4 linked regions of the Caenorhabditis elegans genome follow. The protein of the gene in region 3 purifies or fractionates together with the protein of the main gene of each other region. This does not show direct contact. Each region holds a gene or a part of one and is shown on either strand. Other genes may lie near its edges. The genes, in order: hint-1, rnr-1, rmh-2 and BE10.3.

Region 1 (3,025 bases), on a different chromosome or scaffold from region 3:
CAAATTTCCAATTTCCTCGTGATGTTCAGAAGGTGTCGAATTTCTAGCAAAGTGGTTTCCATTGATATTGAAGTTTTCATCTTCCTCATCAAATCCGCAAAGGCTTCTGATACAGAGAACCACAAGGCTCAACAAAGCTTGAAACACACCGCAAGTTATGCAAAAGAAGATAACGAAAATCAATAAGAGTGGAAGAAGATCTGAAAAAAATTGAACTATACAAAAAGATCAGCCCAATGCGGGGCTCGAACCCGCGACAACCAGATTAAGAGTCTGGTGCTCTACCGGCTGAGCTAACCGGGCCCGGCGACATTCATATTTCATGACATTTAAAAACTCTTTCTTTGCCATTGAAACACGTGACACTTACACTGCCCGTCTCCTTTCTCCCACTCCAAGTACAAGTCAGTTGCGTTGACGATCGAATCGTTACTATTTTTGTCAGGAATCGTCAGAATTGATTTCACTTTATCGTACAGCGTCATATTTTATACCAGAAATGATTAATTGTTTCAATAATTGAACACGTCAGATAGAAGAAAAAGAATGCATTTATTTCAAAAAACATGATGCCACGGTTTAAAATAGTTTTGGAAATAAATATAAATATAATTTTTTACTGATTTGTTTACAAGACTGATAATGAATTAGTGGCAGAATGTAAGCAATGCAATATTTATCCAGGTGGCCATTGGAGCTGACGTCCTCCCAAAACGTGGAGATGAAGATGGAAAACTGATTGAGCTCCATCTTTTCCATTGTTCACAACAACACGGTATCCATTGGCCATGCCGAGCTGCTTTGCAACCTGGAATTTTATTTAAGAGTAATATAATGGAGATTTCTGGATTTTCAAATTCGTTTTTACTCATTTATAATTACCTTTGAAGCAGTAACCATAAGCTTTCCAATAAGCGCAGCATCCGAATCAACGGCATTCTCGAGCATATCAATGCGACGCTTAGGGATCACAAGAAAATGAATTGGAGCTTGTGGAGAGACATCATGGAATGCGAGAGCCTTAAATAAATATTTTATGTGATCGTTTGCCTGATCTTACATACCTCATCATCTTCAAAAATGATTTTCGCTGGAATCTCTTTTCGAATTATTTTTCCGAAAAGAGTGTCGTTGGCTTGAACATCTTTGTTAATTGCCGCCAAGTGGGCTTTATCTACTTCCGACATGTTTCTCTTTGTAAACCTGAAAAATGGTGGAATCGATAAAGACACCTTGCCTACAGTAACCCTGACCTAACTGGATTACGGTAAGCAAGACGCAAAGCGGTTTTAACCAAAGAGGAAGCCATACTAAAATATTGAAAAATGGGCAAAAAATAACCAATATGCAATATATTTCAAACGATGAAAACGCTAGACAACGAGAAATAAACAATAAACATGTGAAAATAAATGCTTTAATCAGTAAAATGATACAAAAAATAATCAAAAAAGTTAACACAAGAACAAGAATTAATGTACCAGAATACAATTTGAACCCATAACGTGATTTGTCGATTGTGCAGTTTTTACTTTCGAACTGAAATAATAATTTGAATAGAAAACCAAGAATTCTCCTAGGTTTCTTCGAAAACTCGGTTTCCCTCTTACTTACCATTCATGAAATATTGATTAGAAGACAATGGCGGAAGCTCTCGAATATCTCCATTTGTGAACTGTTGATAAGCTTCACCTCCCTTTCCAATATGTAATGAAACATTTCCAATTGGTTTTCGATGAACAACCCACGCGATTAGGTCAAAATCTGCTGATAATTTCGAATTCAAATGATTCAGAAGACGTTCTTTTGGAATTGTGACAAGTACTCCATTTGTTGCTTTCAAATAATAAAAATGATGATCCGAGTTCATCTCTGTGTTGTCATGATATTGCTCCACTACTAGTTCAGGTTTTGAAAGTGCGATTTTTACTTTCATTTCAAGCACTCCTCCGAAGCATCTGACCGAGTTTTTAAAGCAATCAATTTTAAGGAGAGAATCTGGCGTGTCTGGTTTCTTTTTCACTTAAAATTAAAGTTTTTTTAAAACATTGGTAAATTGTAAAATACCTGCAATATGTGTATATGGAATCTTGAAAATGAGCCTATCTTTTGTTTCAATTCTACGAGGCAAGATATCGAAGAATGCCACGTCTCCGAGTTGAGGGGATCTTTCCAATCCTTCACACGATCTTTCTTGAAGCAAAACGTTTATAACGTCTCTTTTGGCTGTGTACAAAATTGCAAAGCCATCGATTTTTTGCACAACGGTGCATAAAGCAGATTGAGGCTGAAATATGGTGATGAAGATTAATATTATTGTTCTGGCATTACGTACTTTTTCGGAATCAGTTTTATCTTGACGAAGCAGTTGAAGCATCGTTGGAGCTAAATCTTTAATAAACGGTCTCATCGGAATATTAGATGTTCCACGTGTTCCGTATGTATCTTCATCATCAATTTCATCTTCATCTGATAACTGATTTGAATCAATAACTGGTGCTGCTCGACTTGAGATTGTAGTCTGGGACAAGGATGAATCAACTTGATTCAATTCGATACTTTGGCTTCGAAAAGTTTCCGGAGGTATTTCCCGATTCTCTGACACAACTCTAGAGGAATTGTACGAATCAGATGTCTGCGAGTTCATTTGAGAATGCACGTCTTCTTGATGTTGACTTGATTGTTGATCTTGTACGTCGGTTTCGGGTGTTTGAACATATCCATTACCAGTCATAATCTAAAAATGTGATTACTTGAAAAATTCTGAACTATAAGTCACATACATCCAACAGTCTTGTATCATGAAGATACTGTACATCAGAATCAACGACTGGATTCGGGAGCTGAAATTATATTATGTAAACTGCAGGAGGTTGTGGCTTATATGTTCTGGGAAATTTTGATAAGCAAAAACCAAAATGTGAACAATTCAAAATGAACCAGGACACTTTTGCCACATACTGATTGATATCCATTTCGGCTTACAGCATCACAGGTGTGTAGCTTTTGTGGATCTTCATGCACA
Region 2 (4,999 bases), on a different chromosome or scaffold from region 3:
TCTGAGCCAAAAAAGCCAAACCGAAACAAAGTCATCAATCGTTTTGAAGTCGAAATGAGCAAAAACGGAAAAAGAACCCAAAAAAAGACAAAAGAGACGATGAACAGCTTCCAATGACGAGACAGGGAGGAAACGAGTAGTAGTTTATTTGAAAAAAAGAGCAATGAGCAAAAAAACCAAGAATCAAGCTAATCTCGCTAAGAACCGGGGGCCCATCTGACGAGAGGAGCTCTACGCATAGTTCAATGTTTCTATTCCGGCTCATTGAGCACACGAAAAGAGAATCGAAAGGGCGCATTTGAAATCTGCTCGATTGACGGTTCACTAAACATTACCCACGTACACCTTCAGTCGAGACCCACTTTTGTTGCACCATGATGTTGCTGAGAGAGTATTTAGGAAAAAAACTACTAGAGCATGAGAAGAGGAAAACTTCCGAAGTTTCGGATGTAAACCTAACACGGTTCCACATTTTTCAGCTCCTGCAATTCAAATCGCTCGAGGACTCAGATTGTCAGTTTATTGACCATTAAAACTTTAGAAAAAATGAGTAACCGCGAGCAAAATAGGGTTATCAGTATAACAGATTAAAGTGAAAAAGTGAGCAATTTGGGAATGTACAAACATGATCAACGGGTGAAAGAAAAAATGATTATCCGGAGCACATGAGGCATCCTTCATCTTGCGACTCGGCCACGGTGGCTGGCGTCTCAGCTTGTTGGTTAGTTTTCAGCGCATTCTTATCCACAGTGAATTGAACTGCATTGACAGCTGGCTTGGTACGCAAATAGTACATTCCAGTCTTGAGTCCCTTCTTCCATCCGTAGAAATGCATTGATGTGATACCGGCGTAGCTTGGCTTGGCCATGTGAATGTTAAGAGATTGGGATTGATCAATGTATGCTCCACGATCAGCAGCCATCTCAATAATGTCTTTTTGAGAGATCTCCCACACTGTGCGATAAAGTTCCTTGATGTCGGATGGAATTCCATCAATGTTTTGAATGGATCCATTGTTGGCAATCAGACGATTCTTCATCTCATCAGTCCACAATCCTCTTTCCACCAAATCCTTGAGCATGTGAGGATTCACAATCTGGAAATCTCCAGAAAGAACACGGCGAGAGTAGATGTTCGAAGTGTATGGCTCGATGGATTCATTGTTTCCGAGAATTTGAGCAGTGGAAGCAGTTGGCATTGGAGCCATCAGAAGACTGTTGCGGATACCATGCCTGTAAATAAGTAGTTTAATCAGATTCGAAAGAGTATTTTAATCTTACTTTGCAATTTTCTTGCGAAGAGTGGCCCAATCGCATTGATCGGTTGGAGTGACTCCCCACATATCAAATTGAAGCTGTCCTTTCGATACTGGAGATCCTTCGTATGTCGAGTATGGTCCATTCAACTCAGCCAATTCACAACTGGCTTCCAATGCAGCGTAGTAGATGGTTTCGAAGATTCGTTTGTTGAGATCTCTGGCTTCTGCCGAAGTGAATGGGTAACGCATCAACATGAAGCAATCAGCGAGTCCTTGGACACCAAGCCCGATTGGGCGATGGCGCATATTAGAGTTGCGAGCCTCCTCGACTGGATAGTAGTTGACGTCAATAATCTTATTCAAATTTCTGGTTATAACTTTAGTCACCTCAGCCAGTTTGACGAAGTCGAACTTTTTCTCGGGGGTCACGTAGCGATTGAGAGCAATGGAAGCAAGGTTGCAAACTGCAATCTCATCTGGAGCAGAGTACTCTATGATTTCAGTGCACAAGTTGGAACACTTGATAGTTCCAAGATTTTGCTGGTTAGACTTGCGATTGGCGGCATCTTTGTAGGTGATGTATGGAAGCCCGGTCTCGATTTGGTTGGAAACGATGTGCTCCCAGAGCTTGCGGGCCTTCACCGTTTTGCGGACTCGTCCCTCGGCTTCGTATCTGGAAATTTTGATATGAACTTTGCAAATTTAACTTCACTGTTTAAAAGTTTTTGTTAGTTGATTTTTGTCCGGAGCACACCTTTTTTTTTGAGTATATTCCGGTTATCGATCAACTATTTCATATTCGAAGTTAGTAAACTCAGTCCAAGCAGTACTCTTAAAGTTCTGTCTGGATATCGCACTTCGGTAATTAAAAAAATAAGAACCAGGAGATACTTACTTGGCGTAAAGAGCTTCGAACTCCTCTCCCCAGCAATCATCAAGTCCTGGACATTCACATGGGCACATCAACGACCATTCTTGATCCTTCTCGACTCGCTTCATAAAGAGATCTGGAATCCAAAGAGCAAGGAACAGGTCTCTGGCACGTTCCTCTTCCGGTCCAGTGTTCTTGCGGAGAGATACAAACTCGAAGATATCGGCGTGCCATGGCTCCAGGTAAATAGCAAATGCTCCTGGGCGTTTGTTTCCTCCTTGATCAACATAACGAGCAGTATTATTGTAGACACGAAGCATTGGTATGAGTCCGTTAGATGTTCCATTAGTTCCAGCGATCACAGATCCAGTGGCGCGAATTTTGTGAACATTGAGTCCGATTCCTCCGGCACTTTTTGAAATAAGAGCACACTGCTTCAATGTATCGTAGATTCCGAGAATGGAGTCTTCACTCATTGTCAGAAGGAAGCATGAAGACATCTGAGGACGGCATGTTCCCGAATTGAAGAGAGTTGGGGACGCATGGGTCATGTAACGCTCCGACATCAGATTATAGGTCTCGATTGCGGAAGTAATATCATCTCCATGGATTCCAATAGAAACACGCATCAACATCTGCTGTGGGCGCTCGACAATCTCCTTGTTTATCTTGAGAAGGTAGGAACGCTCCAGTGTTTTGAATCCGAAATAGGTGTAGGAATAGTCACGATCGTAGACGATGGCGGAATTCAGCTTCTGAAATGAAATTTTTTTGAATAAATGCAATTCCTAGGAAAACTAACATCAGCATTCTTCTCAATGATAGCCCAAGTCTCATCACTGATCATTGGTGCGTGTTTTCCGGTATGAGGATGATGGAACTCGTGAAGGGTTTTCATAACTTCCGAGAACACCTTATTCGTTTTCTTGTGCAAGTTCGAAACGGCGATTCGAGCGGCAAGAAGAGCATATTCCGGATGTTGTGTGGTCATGGAAGCAGCAGTCTCTGCAGCAAGATTATCCAACTCAACAGTTGTCACTCCTTTGTACAAGCCACTGATAACTTTGATTGCAACAGCGACCTGGAAAATTTAATTCATCATTGAACTTGTGTTTAATAACAAACCGGATCGACAAAATCCATGTTCAATCCATAGCTCAGCTTCTGAATTCTGGAAGTGATCTTGTCGAAGTGTACATCTTCCTTTCGCCCATCCCGCTTGACAACATAAGTGCTGTTGTAACGTTGCATAACTGGAAAAGATGAATTATTAACAATTTGAGAAGAAAAGAGTGAAAATGGAGGAGCGGAGAGAATTTTCAAATGACCAGTTCATCTCAAATTTACTAGTTTTCGCGCCTAGGTAATAGAGGAACGCGCGAAAACGAGACGCAGACCAAACAAACGCGCTCCATCGGAATTCAAATTCAAAAGGAAAACGAATTATTGAAATCTTGGTCTCATAGAAAAAACAAGTATTACAGTGAAACAGAATACATTATATTTTCCTACGAATTCTGGCTTCAATATGGTTTTCTGATAGAAGTGAGCTAATGTCGAAACACACAAAATTGGCCTAGAAATTCAAACCGAAAATCCACGGTCCTGAGCATTTCTAACTACGGCAGTTTGAAATGAAATATTAATTCACAGCTGAAGAATTTCATTTAAACAAAAAATGTGTTTAGTTTTCTGTGTGAGGAAAAAATCTATTTATACCCTTCGGCACCACAAGCACCGCCTCTAACCATGGCTCCGCCCTTTAGGACAAGTCCGATAATCGCATTTCATTGCTCTGAAATTTAAAAAAAAACGTAAAATTCAAAATAAAACCACATAAAAATGCATAAGATCAGAAGAAACCCCGAAAATAAAAGCTGTAAAACACAATTTTGCCGCGGGTTACTGTAATGGTCTCGACACGAAATATTGTATTTAAAAACTTTATGCGTGCGCCTTTGAAAGAGTACGGTAATTTTTTAAAGAAAAAAACATGTTTCGATGAAATAATATTTATATTCAGTTTTTCCTTAAATTTTCAAACTGCGGACAAAAAAGCGTAGTTTTTTATTTTCTGATGTTTTGTCAGAGATCACTAAAATTTGCTGTCGGTCAATTCAGACAATAAAAAACCACCAGCTGTGATTGCGAATTTTCGAAAATTCGAAAAACGCGTATCTGTTGGCATGCAAGACATGACATAAATAATTTATTTTGACACAGATATATTCAAATGGTTAGTGACGAGATGTTCCATCTCTTGACTGCATTAATCCTCCAGTTATGAGCACTTCCACGCTATGGCTCTCCTCATCCGCATTTTTGTTGACAACATTGTATACCGCCTGAAAATAGATAAATGAATTTTAATTTTATAATTCTATAGATATTCTACTAATTTTCAAGAAAGTTACTCACACTAAGATCAACTGCCTCTGCAGCAGCATCACAGATTTTCCTCACAGTCGGATCATCAGTCATTTTCTTATCAAAAAGTACCGATGCACCATTCCAACCAACATGTGCAATATGTCTGAAAATAAACTTTTGTAAGTAATTAATAGATAAAAGATATCCAAATCTCACGTAAAGTTCCTTGGAAGACTAATCGAATCTGCAGACGTTTTAATTTTTTTGGAATTTCTGCCAGTTGGAGGTTTTCTCATCGGAATTTGTACAGTATCCTTCGGCTGCATCAATGACGGAAGTGGTGGTGGTGGAGGTGGAGGTGGTTTCGAAAGAAGAAGATTACGTGGGACAATCGGAACATTTTCTTTTTGGGTCAAGATTTGGTTCGGTATTGGAGTTGATGGAAGTTCAGGTGGGCAAGTACAAAATGTTCGCAGCTTATGTTCTATCATGTTTCGAAG
Region 3 (5,182 bases):
GATTTATAATTTTTGCGAATAAAAATTGCAATTTTTTCCAATACAGGCATCTATATTGTTTCAGACTCGTTCTCTGGGATATGCAAATTCACGAATTTCATTATATAACATATCATAAATTTCGGAAAAGTATCATCTTCAAATCCTTTCATTTCACAGGAGATGTTACTATTGAATTTTCGATTCAATTTTAGGCAGTGTATTTACAATTAATTTAACCGTGAAATAAAATAAATAAAATAAGTAATTAGTGTACACATTCTTGATCAATTTTCAATTCAATTTAGGGACTGCGGAACGCTCTCGTCATCTTGTTTTTGGGATTTGCTCCTGCTTCTCGTGTGCCTTCCTTTGAAAACAACATCCTTGAAAACCGGTTTTTCAGTTGTTTCATTTCCGAGTGGTGGGAGGGCTGAAATATTATACATGAAGTTAAAATTAAGAGGTGTTTAGTTCTTACTGAGATAAGCACCTAGAAGCATTCCAACTTCTCGCTCTCGTTTCTCCTTTTCTGCTATCAACTCTTTGAAAAAATCAATGTAACGACCTTTAGCATATACATATTTATCTTCGTGTTGAGTCTCGTTCATAGCTGTTTCGGCCTCATATTCGTCAAGAATTTGGGCCATTTTGAGTTCATATTTTGCTTGATTGATCTGAAAATTGGACTATTTAAAAATCAGTCACGACTGGGTAGACGGCGATTGCTATTCGGAAAACCGCATTTCAGCAATTAAATATTTCGGCTATAGCTGCCTTTTTCAATTTTTTAAAGTACTCTTTTTTTTGAATTCTGGAAGGATAAATCGAAACTTGGTACTTATGTAGGAACCGTACCCAAAATTATAACTAATAAAAACATTACCGTGATTTTTGATTAGTTTAAGCCTAAAAAAGCAGCCTGCCCTCACGTTTCTATTAAATTACCATTTTAACAATAAATGAATGAAAAATTAATTTTACGGGTATGGCTACTACATACGTACCCAAAACTTGCAATTCTTGTGGTAACAATAGCTTAATTTTGTGCCTGAGACATTAAAAAGGAAATCTTACATCAAGTTTCTTGGAGAGCGCATCTTCAGCTTCTCGTTTCGCAGCTAAAAGTTCGGGATCAGTTCCGGCGGCAACATTGGCCTTATATTCTCTTGCTTCTCGAAATTTGTTGTCTCTTAATTGTGTTCGTAGTGCAATATATTGACTTTCTGCAAGGACAGCCCGCCGGAGAATGTCCGTCTTTCTGGAAAAAAAAAACGAAGTTTTTATTATTTCCAACGAAATACATACTTCCGTTCATATTCCTCTTGTGTAAGATGTTCTAATGGTGCTGGTTCTTCAGAAGGTGGTCGTCTGATGGGAAGTCTTGGAGTTCCGCGATCACGTTTTCCACCTCGTTTCCGCTTTCCAAAATTGTCTGACATTTTTAACTGAAATTAATTAGAAATGTGTGATAGAGGATAAGATTTTTTATGAAAATAATAACTTCAAGCTTCAATTATTGCAAATCAATGCGAAAACATAAATACACCACAATATCTAAGCAAGAATTGAATTTTATGAGAAAAAAATAAATTTGAAAATGCGTCCAATAAAGTAGGTGGAGCTCCGTAAACCCACACTGCAACCGCCGCGCACAGACACCGCAACATTGGTGCGCGGGTCATGTTTCACCGCCAATTATTTATTTTTGAACAAAATTTGTCTCATGAGTTCCAGATGCACGTTTCTGCTTCAATATTTCAGCGACCGGCATATTCTATTAAAAGATGAGTGGCTAACGACAGTTATTGAGTTTTTAAATAACCAGAAACCACAAGCAAAACATTTTGTAAGTCGACTTTTCAGAAAGATATATTTTTAAAAATTCGAATAATATGATTTATTTAAGGACGATGAAAAATTTGCAAATCTGGTGTTGGATCAATGGATTTGTTCGAGTATTGAAAGTTCATCGTTTCCCGTATTTGGCAACCATGGAATTGAAGAGACCGTTGCGAAACAAAACCTTCAAGGTCCAATCGTTTGTCAGGTAATTAAAAATAAAGTTCAGAGACATCATCGGTTTAATTTTCAGATTAATGGGTTCATTGATGTCGGCAGTCCATATTATCAACAGTATTGTTCAATGAGTGGGAATGGACAAAAGGAAGACCAATCTGGCTTTGAAAAAGTATTCCACGAGAAAGACAACGATACCGATCAGGTAAATTTGAATATTGCTAATAGTGATGAATAAGAAAATACAGATTCCAGAAACCTTCACGTCTTTTGAAACTGACCCTATTTGATGGAGAAACAACGTTGAAGGCGATTGAATTTTGGAAATGTCCCCAGCTCTCTCTACATTATAAACCTGGAACCAAAATTCTTATCGTTCCACCATGTGCAATTCGAAAAGGAACCTTTCTGTTGAAGCGAAATAATTGTAAAGTTCTAGGTGGACAAGTTCTTCCGCAATTAAATTCGTTCGTACCAGTAGATCAATATGCACGACTTTTGGGTATCAAAAGTTTAAACCTATCTGCGAAAAAGAAGGAAGAAGTTAAAACAACTATGAATTCCAATACGGATAGTATTCGAACTGTCACTAACTCTGTCATTGATTCTTCTTTGCCGAAATTCATTGATCGTCCTGATCCAGTTCAGCCTGCTTCAGGTCCATCTTCGTTGATCAGTAGATATTTTCAAAAGAAACAATGCCCGTTAGTTTTCTAGAAGAAAAACACATTTTAAAGTTATCCTTCCAGACCTTCCACTTCAAAAGAACCAGAAACGCGTGAAATATCCCCTGATATTTTTAATGACGAGGATGGTGATTATGACTTTGAAAATGAGAACATTGGTTGGTTATTTGCATTAGTTTTCCCAATTTAAATTATAATTTTAAGAATATGATAATCGTCAGTCAACTTCCATGAAAGCTAAAAATGATTCAGTTCTTGTTTCTTCTCTATTGAGTAAAATGAAAGATGACACGGAAGATTTTGATTTGAATCGGCGAATGACCAATCGATCACCGAAAAAGCGAAATTCAATACGCTCACCACCGATGGATGTCGTATGTTTTTAAAGTTAGAAATTTTTTAAAATTGAATTTTCTAGACCCGTCGAATATCTGGAATGCTAACATCCCGTAGAGTCGATCCAATGGACGAAATTCTTGAAAATATGATTGAAAAAGATGAGGAACCAGTGTCCTGCCCTTCGACATCAACGAAAAATCCATTTAAATCAATATCACAACCACCAAAGAAGAAAATCAAATCAGAACCAGAAAGTGATGATGATATTCAAATTATTGAATTAGTTTCCCCGTCCCAACCTGTCAAAAAGGAAAAATTATTTGAAGAGGAAACTATAAACTCAGAGCTTGATGAAGAAAATACTCGAATGAATAGTGAAGAACGTCAAGCTATGGATGCATTCTCTAAGCTTAATTTGTCATCATTGGCGGAAAGTATGAAGAAAATGAAATATTCAATAGGATCAAAACGATTTATTCTTCTTGCTTTCATTGAAGATATAACAGAACAATTGCGAGTTGTTGACAAAATGTGGACAATGAAAGTGCATTTAAAAGATTGTTGGACATCCGTTAATGCATTAATTGACAATCGAACCCTTCAAAATCTAATTGGATTTTCCTGTGAAGAAGCTTCGGTAGGTTTTTTGAAAATTTTAAAAACTTGAAAACTGAACCTTCTTTGTGAATTATTAATTATATTTAGACAATTCGAAAATCCAAAGATGCGGAAAAGAGGTTAAATGGAAAAATGCGGCTGAACGCTTTGGAACATCAGTTGCAAAGATTGGATCTTGTTTTCGAGGTATTGGTTCACAAATAAAAATGATTAAAATATATTTATTGGCTCTCGAAGATTTCTTAAAAGTGGTTTAGCGTGAATTTGGCTCGCTGAATTAAAAAAAACCCACAAAGAAAAATGAAAAATAAAATCCGGAAAAAATGAAAAATCCAACTTTAAAAAACACTAATTTATAACTTTGGCTGAATTCCCTATGGAGTTGGATTTTCATTATTCTTCGATTTTTAGTATTTCTGAATTCAAAACAATTTTGGATTTTTTAAAAGAAAAATCTTCCTTCACGCTATTTACTCCCTCTTTGAATAGTCCTAGAATATAAAAACACAAAAAAGTTTAATCTTTAAAAAATTTAAATTTTGCAATGATTTTTCCACCCTTTGTGCTTCTGATGTCCACTCTTCTTCTAATAAACAAATCTATAAAATTCTACCTTTTACCCACCGTTTCCTTATCTTTACGACCTCCTTCCCTTTTCTTGTGCCGTGGAACTTTTTTCACTCGATCGTCATGTGACAATAAGTTGGAAGAAAATATCACTTTGGCGTTGACATTTACGAAATTCTGAAGTGAAAAATGGAAATTTTTACATGCTCTTAACCTTTTTTTCAATTTTCAGATCGAATTCTTCGCTGGTACATTGTCGCCTTGCCCCGTCGTAAGATCAATTAAAACATTATCAGAGCTAATCGATGTCTATTGAATAATTTTTCATGTTTTTTCTGTTACATGTTCGAGAATTAGGTTACATTCAATTTTATTATCAATATTATGTGCTCACCAATTCGATGGGTCAGTTATGATGTCTTTAAGATTTGTATGAATATTCACAGAATACAGTATGTACATCATATTTGATTATTATTTAAAATTAGATTTGCACTGCAATACAACGACAACTGTGCATAGTGTGACTGCGAATATTCCAAAGGTCCAGGCAATCAGTGTGTGCTTGTGTCCTTTCAGATATTCCAGCACTTTATTTGGTGGTTTCTTCGAGGTTATATTTCCTGAAATTTGGGAAATCCGTACTATGATATAAGGAGTACACCCATTTCTGAGAATTCGTATTGCGCGACGCGCTAAATATCTCGTAGCGAAAACTACAATAATTCTTTCAATGACTACTGTAGCGCTTGTGTCGATTTACGGGCTCGGTTTTCGAAATGAATTCCTTTTCCTCAAATATCCTCAAATATGTTTCCCAATACGAATTTTCAGAATTTGTATTCCCGTTATACAATAGGTAACGAGAAATGAGATATGCCTCAAAAATCTTGCAGGAGAAATAATTTTAGAGAAACTTACTCTCATGGGGTGGAATAACTCGATAGATGTACACTGGTGGAGGTTCATTAAAT
Region 4 (6,748 bases), on a different chromosome or scaffold from region 3:
AGGTTCTGACCGCTCCATTGAAAATCGCCCGCCGGACAACGGAAAGTCGTGTACTCCACACGGACAAATACATTTAGTTTTACAACTAAAATCGAGCCGCGACGCGACACGCAACGCGCCGTAAATCTACCCCAGATATGACCGAGCCAAACTGGCCTAACTCTTCCATTTCAATTTATGAGGGAAGCCAGAAATCCGTGAAGCGAGTTATGGTAAAACTTCATCTACGAAAATAAGATAATCGTTTTTTGTCATTTTTTAAAATTAATTGCCGTAAAAAAAATTGCCGTTTTTGAAAAACATGCGTAAACGTAGCCGGGGTACGGTAGGTACCGCAGGTAGGTACAGGCACAACTTCTCGGGCCGTGTTATGTTTAAAAAACTGAAGAAAATTTGATGAAAATTCCGCAAAATCACAAAACTTTGCGCAATTTGCGTCTGGGTGATATTTCCAAAAACTTGCCGGTGCGCCTAAAAATTTCAAAATTTTAATTTAAGAAAAACAAGGATTTTTCTTGAAAACGGAAAAATTAATTTATTTAAAAAATGAAGCAATTAAAAACTTAAATCAGAAACAAATTCAGAAAAAATTGAACAGGAAAAAACATGAAAAATTTGAAAAAAAAAAATTTTTTTCATTAAAGATGAGGTGTGGGGCAGAATTGCGCTAGTGGGGCAGAATTGCCAAATATTATAGTAAAAATTTTTTGCCATTTTATATGATTTTTTAAAAATTGAAAAAATCTCAGTTTTTCCACATTTTTGAAAGTCATCGATCAAAAAAATTAATATTCGAACCAGGGGTGGGCGGCAATTGCAGTTTGGCAAATTTTCGGCAAATTACCGGGTTGCCAATTTGCCGGAAATTTTTGTTTTCTGCAAATTTTCATAGAATTTATTTACTTTTAAAAATAGATGTAGGAACATTCATAGGAAGTCTACAATTTTGCCGATTAAAATTGAAATACAGTGATTTCCAAAAAAAAATGTGCACTAGCACAACTTGCCGAAATTTTTCCGGCAAATCGGCAATTTGCCGGTTTGCCAATTTGCCGGAAAAAAACGTTTGCAGCCCCTAATTGTTGGGTTTCAAAAATGCAACAGTGTTATAGCTTTGTGAAAAGTGGCAAAAGCTCGGTAAATACCACTTTTCAAAAATTTTGCAATAATGTTTGCTACCCTACCCTTATGGGGTTATTCAACAAGTAATGTCGGAAAATTAAAAAGTGTAGAAAAATTACGTCACAACTGTATTCAAGTATATAAAAACATGTATTTAAATACATTTCTGACGTCACAAATGTATTTAAATACATTTTGCTACATTACTTGAATAACCCCATCAAACAAAAAAAAACACAAAAAAACAAATAAAATTAAAAATGTTTCACCAGTAACTCAGGTGTCCAAAAATGTCTCAAAAATCCAGCTCCCTTAACATCAGGCCTCTTCCTGAAGAACTTCTCCAAAAATTCAATTTCAAAATAAATTTCAAAATCTATCGTGCAATTGGCCATTTCGTGTTCCAAACAAAACCTTCTTCCCTTCCAAATATGAACTTGAGTTCGATATCCAATTGATCTATCGTCTGGTATTGAGACTATATCTTTCAGGTGAAAGTAGTCTTTTGAATTTTTTTGAATTTGATCTATTGGCCCGGAGACAAGCCGAGCACCAGAATTCAAAATCTCCGGCACATTCTGTGTTCTGTAGTTGAAGACTGGAGCTGTTCTAGAAATAAGCTGTGAGCTCATTGGATAAAGCTTGACTGTTATTTTGGAATTTCTTATCGTCGGAGAGCTCGGAGAGCTTTCAATCATTCTCATGAACTTTCCGATGAACTTATTCAAGTTGAAAGGTGTCATGAGAATGTATGCCTTGGGAAGTTCCAGAGTCAAAAATTTAGTGGAAAATATTTTTTGAACATTTGAAATTAATCCATCAATTGGTGAAGGTTCTTCAGGTGACTTCAGGTATTGCTCCATTTCATCAGCGAGAAGTTCACTGAATTCCAGGCAAATATCAAGGTTTTCCAAAGAATAATTAGCTACAGATTCAAATTCTAAACCAATCAATTTCTGGTTCAAATCCAAGTCTCCAGAACTTAGATCTAGTTCTGGCAACTCTCCAAACTCAATTCTCAAATTCTTCACATTCCATTTCACCACAATCAGCTCTACGATTTGTCGCATAACTTGGAGTTGACATGGAATCCACGATTTCCTGGTTCCAAGTAGGATTGATGGCATCAGAGTCAGGGAATCACATGAAATTCTTGAATTTATATATTTATCAATTACTGCTAAATTTGATTGCGACGAATCGGCAAGCGACAAGACGATTCTATGTAGGAGTCTGTAAGGAAAACAAGTATAATTTATAGAATTTATAACTACTACAGTACTCCTATATAACTATTACAGTACCCCTACAGTAATCCTACAGTAGCCCAACCCAACTCGATATCCCATCAAAAGACAAAAAATCATTATTTCTCAAACTATGTAATCCTACAGTAATCTTACAGTACTTCTACAGTATCCTTATAGTATCCCTATAGTATAACTACAGTAATCCTACAGTACCTCATCCATATTCCTTTACTAACACCAACTCAATACTCCAAGTAAAGACAAAATCTATTTTTCTAAAAGTACAGTGATCCTACAGTACCCTACAGTACCCCTACAGTATCCCTAGAGTACTACTACATTATATCTTAGGTACTCCTACAGTACCCCTGTAGTATTACTACAGAGCTCCTACAGTACCCCTATGATATTTCCACAATACTAATATCACAGTATCCCTACAGTAATCCTTCAAAACCTCTACAGTCCTACTAAAGTAACTCCACAGTATTCTTATATAGTACAAATACCGTACTCCTACAGTACCCTTATATTATCCCCACAGTACCAATAGTACAGTATCCCTACAGTAACCCTACATTACCCCTACAGTAGTACTACAACAGTATTGTTACAGTATCCCTAAATTACCTCTACAGTACTACTACACTTTCGCTATAGCGCCCTTAAAGTACAAATATCGTACTCCTACAGCACCCCTTTAGTATCCCCACAATACTAATAGTACAGTATCTCTACAGTAATCCTACATTACCTCTACAGTACCCCTACAGTAATCCTACAGTACCACAACCATGTCCCTTCACTAACCCCAAACTCAATATCTCAATTTAACTGTTCAAACTGAACTTACGTGTCTGAAACTTCTAAATGCTCAAAATGATGTGGTGTTTTCAGTGTAATATCGAAAATATTCTCCTGAATCGGACCATATTTTCTACATCGACCGCCAATAATTCCACACTCATCTGATCCACTGCAGATATCATTCATTCCGAAAAATTCCTCTACGAGTTGGTCTGGAAATTTTTTTTTAAATGCATTTGGGACGGTTTGAAAAACAAAACAAAATCAGTAAAAACTAACCATCATTGCCAATCAAAGAATTGATGACCCTATCATGGATTTCCCTCTGATCACAAATTTTTGCAACATCCTCGACGCCAACTCTTCGAACTTTGACTCCAGCGATTTCTTTCAAAAATCTGAAAGATGTGCTCTGAACAATATAAAAAATATATATACTCACCGAAAATAATCCTCCAACTTTTCCATAGTCACCCTTTGTGGATTTATAAAAACTGAACAATCTGGACAGTTTTGCTTAGCATCTTGCTCCAAATCAAATCGACAATCGGATGCTCCTCTGATGAGCACGTCTCGGTGCTCTTGTCGGATTCTACGGAGCAAGGCGATGTTGATGTTTTTGTTGACTAGCTGGAAATTTATACGTTAAATTCTGTAGTGTTACTTGGACCATTTTTTTTTTGATTTAGCCCATAAATTATAAATTTTAAATAAATTTTTTTCTTTTCTTTGGGTTTCCTAAACCTTCAAAAAGCTTCAAGGTTGAAAAAAAGCTTCCAGAAGATCCTAGAAGTTTTAGACTATTTACATCCATTTTTTGAATTTCCCGCCAATATTTTGCGCCAAAAAAAATTTGAGCTTCTCGTCTGAATTTGGTATGGGAAAATTTTAATTACCCGCCAAAATTTGTTCTCAAAAAATTACAAAAAAATTCCGGCCTGATTTTTTTTGGGAAATTTGAATTTACCACTAAACTGTTTTCGCATAAAATTTGAACTTCCCGCCAAAAATTTGTCTTAAAAAATTTGATTTTCCTGCCAAATTACTTTTCTCCAAAAACTTTAATTTCCCGCCAAAAATTTGTCATAGAAAATTTGAATTTCCTGCCAAAATCTTTTCTCAGAAAATTTGAATTTCCCGCCAAAAATTGTTCTCAAAAAATTACAAAAAATTTCCGGCCTGATTTTTTTCGGGAAATTTGAATTTCCTGCCAAAATTGTTTTCAGAAAATTTGAATTCTCTGCAATAAAAGTTCTCAAAAAATTTCAACTTCCCGCCAAAAAATTATCATTAAAAAAATTGAATTTTCTGCCAAAATTGTTTTCAGAAAATTTGAATTACCTGCCAAATTATCATATTTTTCTCTCTGAGAATTTTAATTTTCTACAGAACTCACTCTTAGATCTAATTTGCCCATCGCATCTGTCGAAACATTTTCCAATATTTTTTCAAGAATTTTCACGTTCTCAAAAACTTTGGAAATTAATTCGACGTTCTGAAAATTGAAGTAAAAATATTAAATTATTTATTTTTTGTAATAAAATAAAAATCTTACATCAGTAGGCTTCATCAAAATCTCCGGAATTTGATATCCGTACACAAAACTGTTGAGCAGCATGCAGTCGCTGTCTCCACAGCAAAACGAATCAGAAGGTCTCATTAGAGAGGTGAATGCAGTTCAAATAAGAATAAAGGGAGATAGAACAGACAATGAAAACGGCTACGTCATTATATTGATCGGGCCCTTTTCAGGCTCTGGGGAGGTTACCGAGCACTATCTGGTCGAGAATAGATCGATATGTAAATGTAGCTAGGTTTGTAGCTAGGTTTTTTGTGTGACCGGGAAGATTGGTGCACCTCTTGATTGAGAAACATTTCCCAATATTGTTTTTTTAGGACATTTCATCAAATCAAAACTAAAAACATTGCCAAGGATATGCTAGATTTTCCAAAAACTGAAAAGTATCGGCAGTCCTGAAATAGGCACGTAGGTAGGCAGAGAGATGATCATAATGTAGGCCAGTAGACACGTATGTAGGCATCCAGGCGTTGTCTAGGCGAGAAGGCAAGCAGGCGTTATGTAGGCCAGTAGGCACGTAGGTAGGCATCTAGGTGTTATATAGGCAAGAAGGCAAACAGGAGTTATGTAGGCCAGTAGGTAAGCATGAGTTAAGAAGGCAAGAAGACTAGCAGGCGTTATGTAGGCGAGTAGGCAATGAGGCGCTATGTAGGCGAGAAGGCTAGCAGGCGTAATGTAGACGGAAAGACATCCAGACTTTGTACGTGCGAGTAGGCTAACAGGCATTATGTAGGCGAGAAGGCTAGCAGGCGATATGTAGGCGAGAAGGCTAACAGGCGTTATGTAGGCGAGTCGGCAAAAAACTGTTTTGTAGGAAAGAAGACAAGCAGGCGTTATGTACGCGAGTAGGCACGTAGGTAGGCATCCAGGTGTTATATAGGCGAGAAGGCAAACAGGCGTTGTGTAGGCCAGTAGGTAAGTAGGCGTTATGTACGCGAGTAAGCACGTAGGTAGGCATCCAGGTGTTATATAGGCGAGAAGGCAAACAGGCGTTGTGTAGGCCAGTAGGTAAGTAGGCGTTGTGTTGGCGAGAAGGCACGTATGTAGGCATCCAGGCGTTATCTAGGCAAGAAGGCCAGCAGGCGTTATGTAGGCGAAAAGGCAAGCAGGCGTTATGTCCAGGCAAAACCGGTTGGCGTGAAATTTAAGACATTTTTAAATTTAAAAATTAAAAAATAATTTGACGTCAATTTTTTTTTCTTAATTTATTTTTTTCTAATTCTTGATAAAAATGCCCATTTATTGAAATTCAAAAAAAAAATCAATCATTTCATAAATTTTCAATTTGTATCGCTGTGAGCAAATATCGTATTGAAGGTGTGACAATATGTGCTTCTGTAGAAGGAAAACTAAGAGTAAGGTACGTCAAGTATAGGCTAGTAGGCAGGTAGGCAGGCAGGCCTTTTTTAAACCGTTTTTCATTCAGGAAGATACAGTTGATTCGAGTAAAAAAGGAGAGAATCGTCATGACCAGCCGCTTGCTCCGCAGCCAGCTCAGCCGGGGGCCCCACTCACTCCGGATAGGCGGACCGAGAAGAAGCAGCTGAAAAGCGGCAAAAGTGCTCCAATGGATGTTCGTTTCAGTAAGAAGAAGTCGAGAAGTAAGTTGATTTTGTAATCTTTCGAAAAAAAAATTAAATTTTAATTTTCAGAAGTCCGCGAAGATGACACCGTTTCGAATGTAAGTCGCGTGGTGTCCGGGTGTCCCATATGAGTTTGATCTACAAAAAATGCGGAAAATGCGGAGAAAAATTCCCGCATTTTTGGTAGATCAAACCGTGATGGGTCAGCCAGGCTTTTTGAGTTAACCTTTTCATTTGTTCAGATTCCCGAGGAGATGCCCGATTTGGTAATTATTCGAGAACACACGGAACCCTTCTATACGGATGACCAACTCATGTAGATAGTCCTTTGGAAAATTTATTAATGATCTTGAATAAAGTGCATTACATTTCCGCCCGCAACGCTTTTTGCACGCCTTTTTTCGGTT

The links.
Region 1: the proteins of rmh-2 (region 3) and hint-1 fractionate together in Caenorhabditis elegans (co-fractionation; one large-scale study listed by BioGRID). This does not show direct contact.
Region 2: the proteins of rmh-2 (region 3) and rnr-1 fractionate together in Caenorhabditis elegans (co-fractionation; one large-scale study listed by BioGRID). This does not show direct contact.
Region 4: the proteins of rmh-2 (region 3) and BE10.3 fractionate together in Caenorhabditis elegans (co-fractionation; one large-scale study listed by BioGRID). This does not show direct contact.

Annotation. Positions count from the first base shown.
Region 1 is NC_003279.8:7,279,125-7,282,149, forward strand, and holds hint-1 (Histidine triad nucleotide-binding protein 1), read right to left. Parts: upstream 1,204-3,025; 5' UTR 1,188-1,203; coding exon 1,065-1,187; intron 1,021-1,064; coding exon 883-1,020; intron 809-882; coding exon 677-808; 3' UTR 546-676; downstream 1-545. Other genes in the region: F21C3.7 (Small integral membrane protein), read right to left, coding at 1-200, 371-485; rde-2 (SH2 domain-containing protein), read right to left, coding at 1,529-1,539, 1,615-2,022, 2,068-2,287, 2,336-2,737, 2,784-2,843, 2,962-3,025.
Region 2 is NC_003281.10:9,224,869-9,229,867, forward strand, and holds rnr-1 (Ribonucleoside-diphosphate reductase large subunit), read right to left. Parts: upstream 3,383-4,999; 5' UTR 3,381-3,382; coding exon 3,255-3,380; intron 3,211-3,254; coding exon 2,932-3,210; intron 2,885-2,931; coding exon 2,154-2,884; intron 2,107-2,153; exon of another isoform or gene 1,982-2,106; intron 1,932-1,981; coding exon 1,281-1,931; intron 1,233-1,280; coding exon 653-1,232; 3' UTR 507-652; downstream 1-506. Other genes in the region: T23G5.3 (uncharacterized protein), read right to left, coding at 4,367-4,474, 4,548-4,662, 4,716-4,999. UniProt on the Caenorhabditis elegans protein: Provides the precursors necessary for DNA synthesis. Catalyzes the biosynthesis of deoxyribonucleotides from the corresponding ribonucleotides.
Region 3 is NC_003283.11:9,927,266-9,932,447, reverse strand, and holds rmh-2 (RecQ-mediated genome instability protein 1), read left to right. Parts: upstream 1-1,672; 5' UTR 1,673-1,705; coding exon 1,706-1,828; intron 1,829-1,888; coding exon 1,889-2,029; intron 2,030-2,074; coding exon 2,075-2,203; intron 2,204-2,253; coding exon 2,254-2,702; intron 2,703-2,747; coding exon 2,748-2,842; intron 2,843-2,888; coding exon 2,889-3,058; intron 3,059-3,102; coding exon 3,103-3,660; intron 3,661-3,728; coding exon 3,729-3,827; intron 3,828-4,440; coding exon 4,441-4,524; 3' UTR 4,525-4,667; downstream 4,668-5,182. Other genes in the region: suds-3 (DUF2040 domain-containing protein), read right to left, coding at 279-412, 461-656, 1,057-1,240, 1,288-1,421; C50H2.13 (uncharacterized protein), read right to left, coding at 4,683-4,831, 5,130-5,182.
Region 4 is NC_003281.10:12,806,140-12,812,887, reverse strand, and holds BE10.3 (FTH domain-containing protein), read right to left. Parts: upstream 4,863-6,748; 5' UTR 4,798-4,862; coding exon 4,735-4,797; intron 4,675-4,734; coding exon 4,576-4,674; intron 3,810-4,575; coding exon 3,622-3,809; intron 3,578-3,621; coding exon 3,459-3,577; intron 3,392-3,458; coding exon 3,226-3,391; intron 2,356-3,225; coding exon 1,377-2,355; 3' UTR 526-1,376; downstream 1-525. Other genes in the region: BE10.5 (Autism susceptibility gene 2 protein-like), read left to right, coding at 6,086-6,118, 6,185-6,359, 6,411-6,439, 6,584-6,661.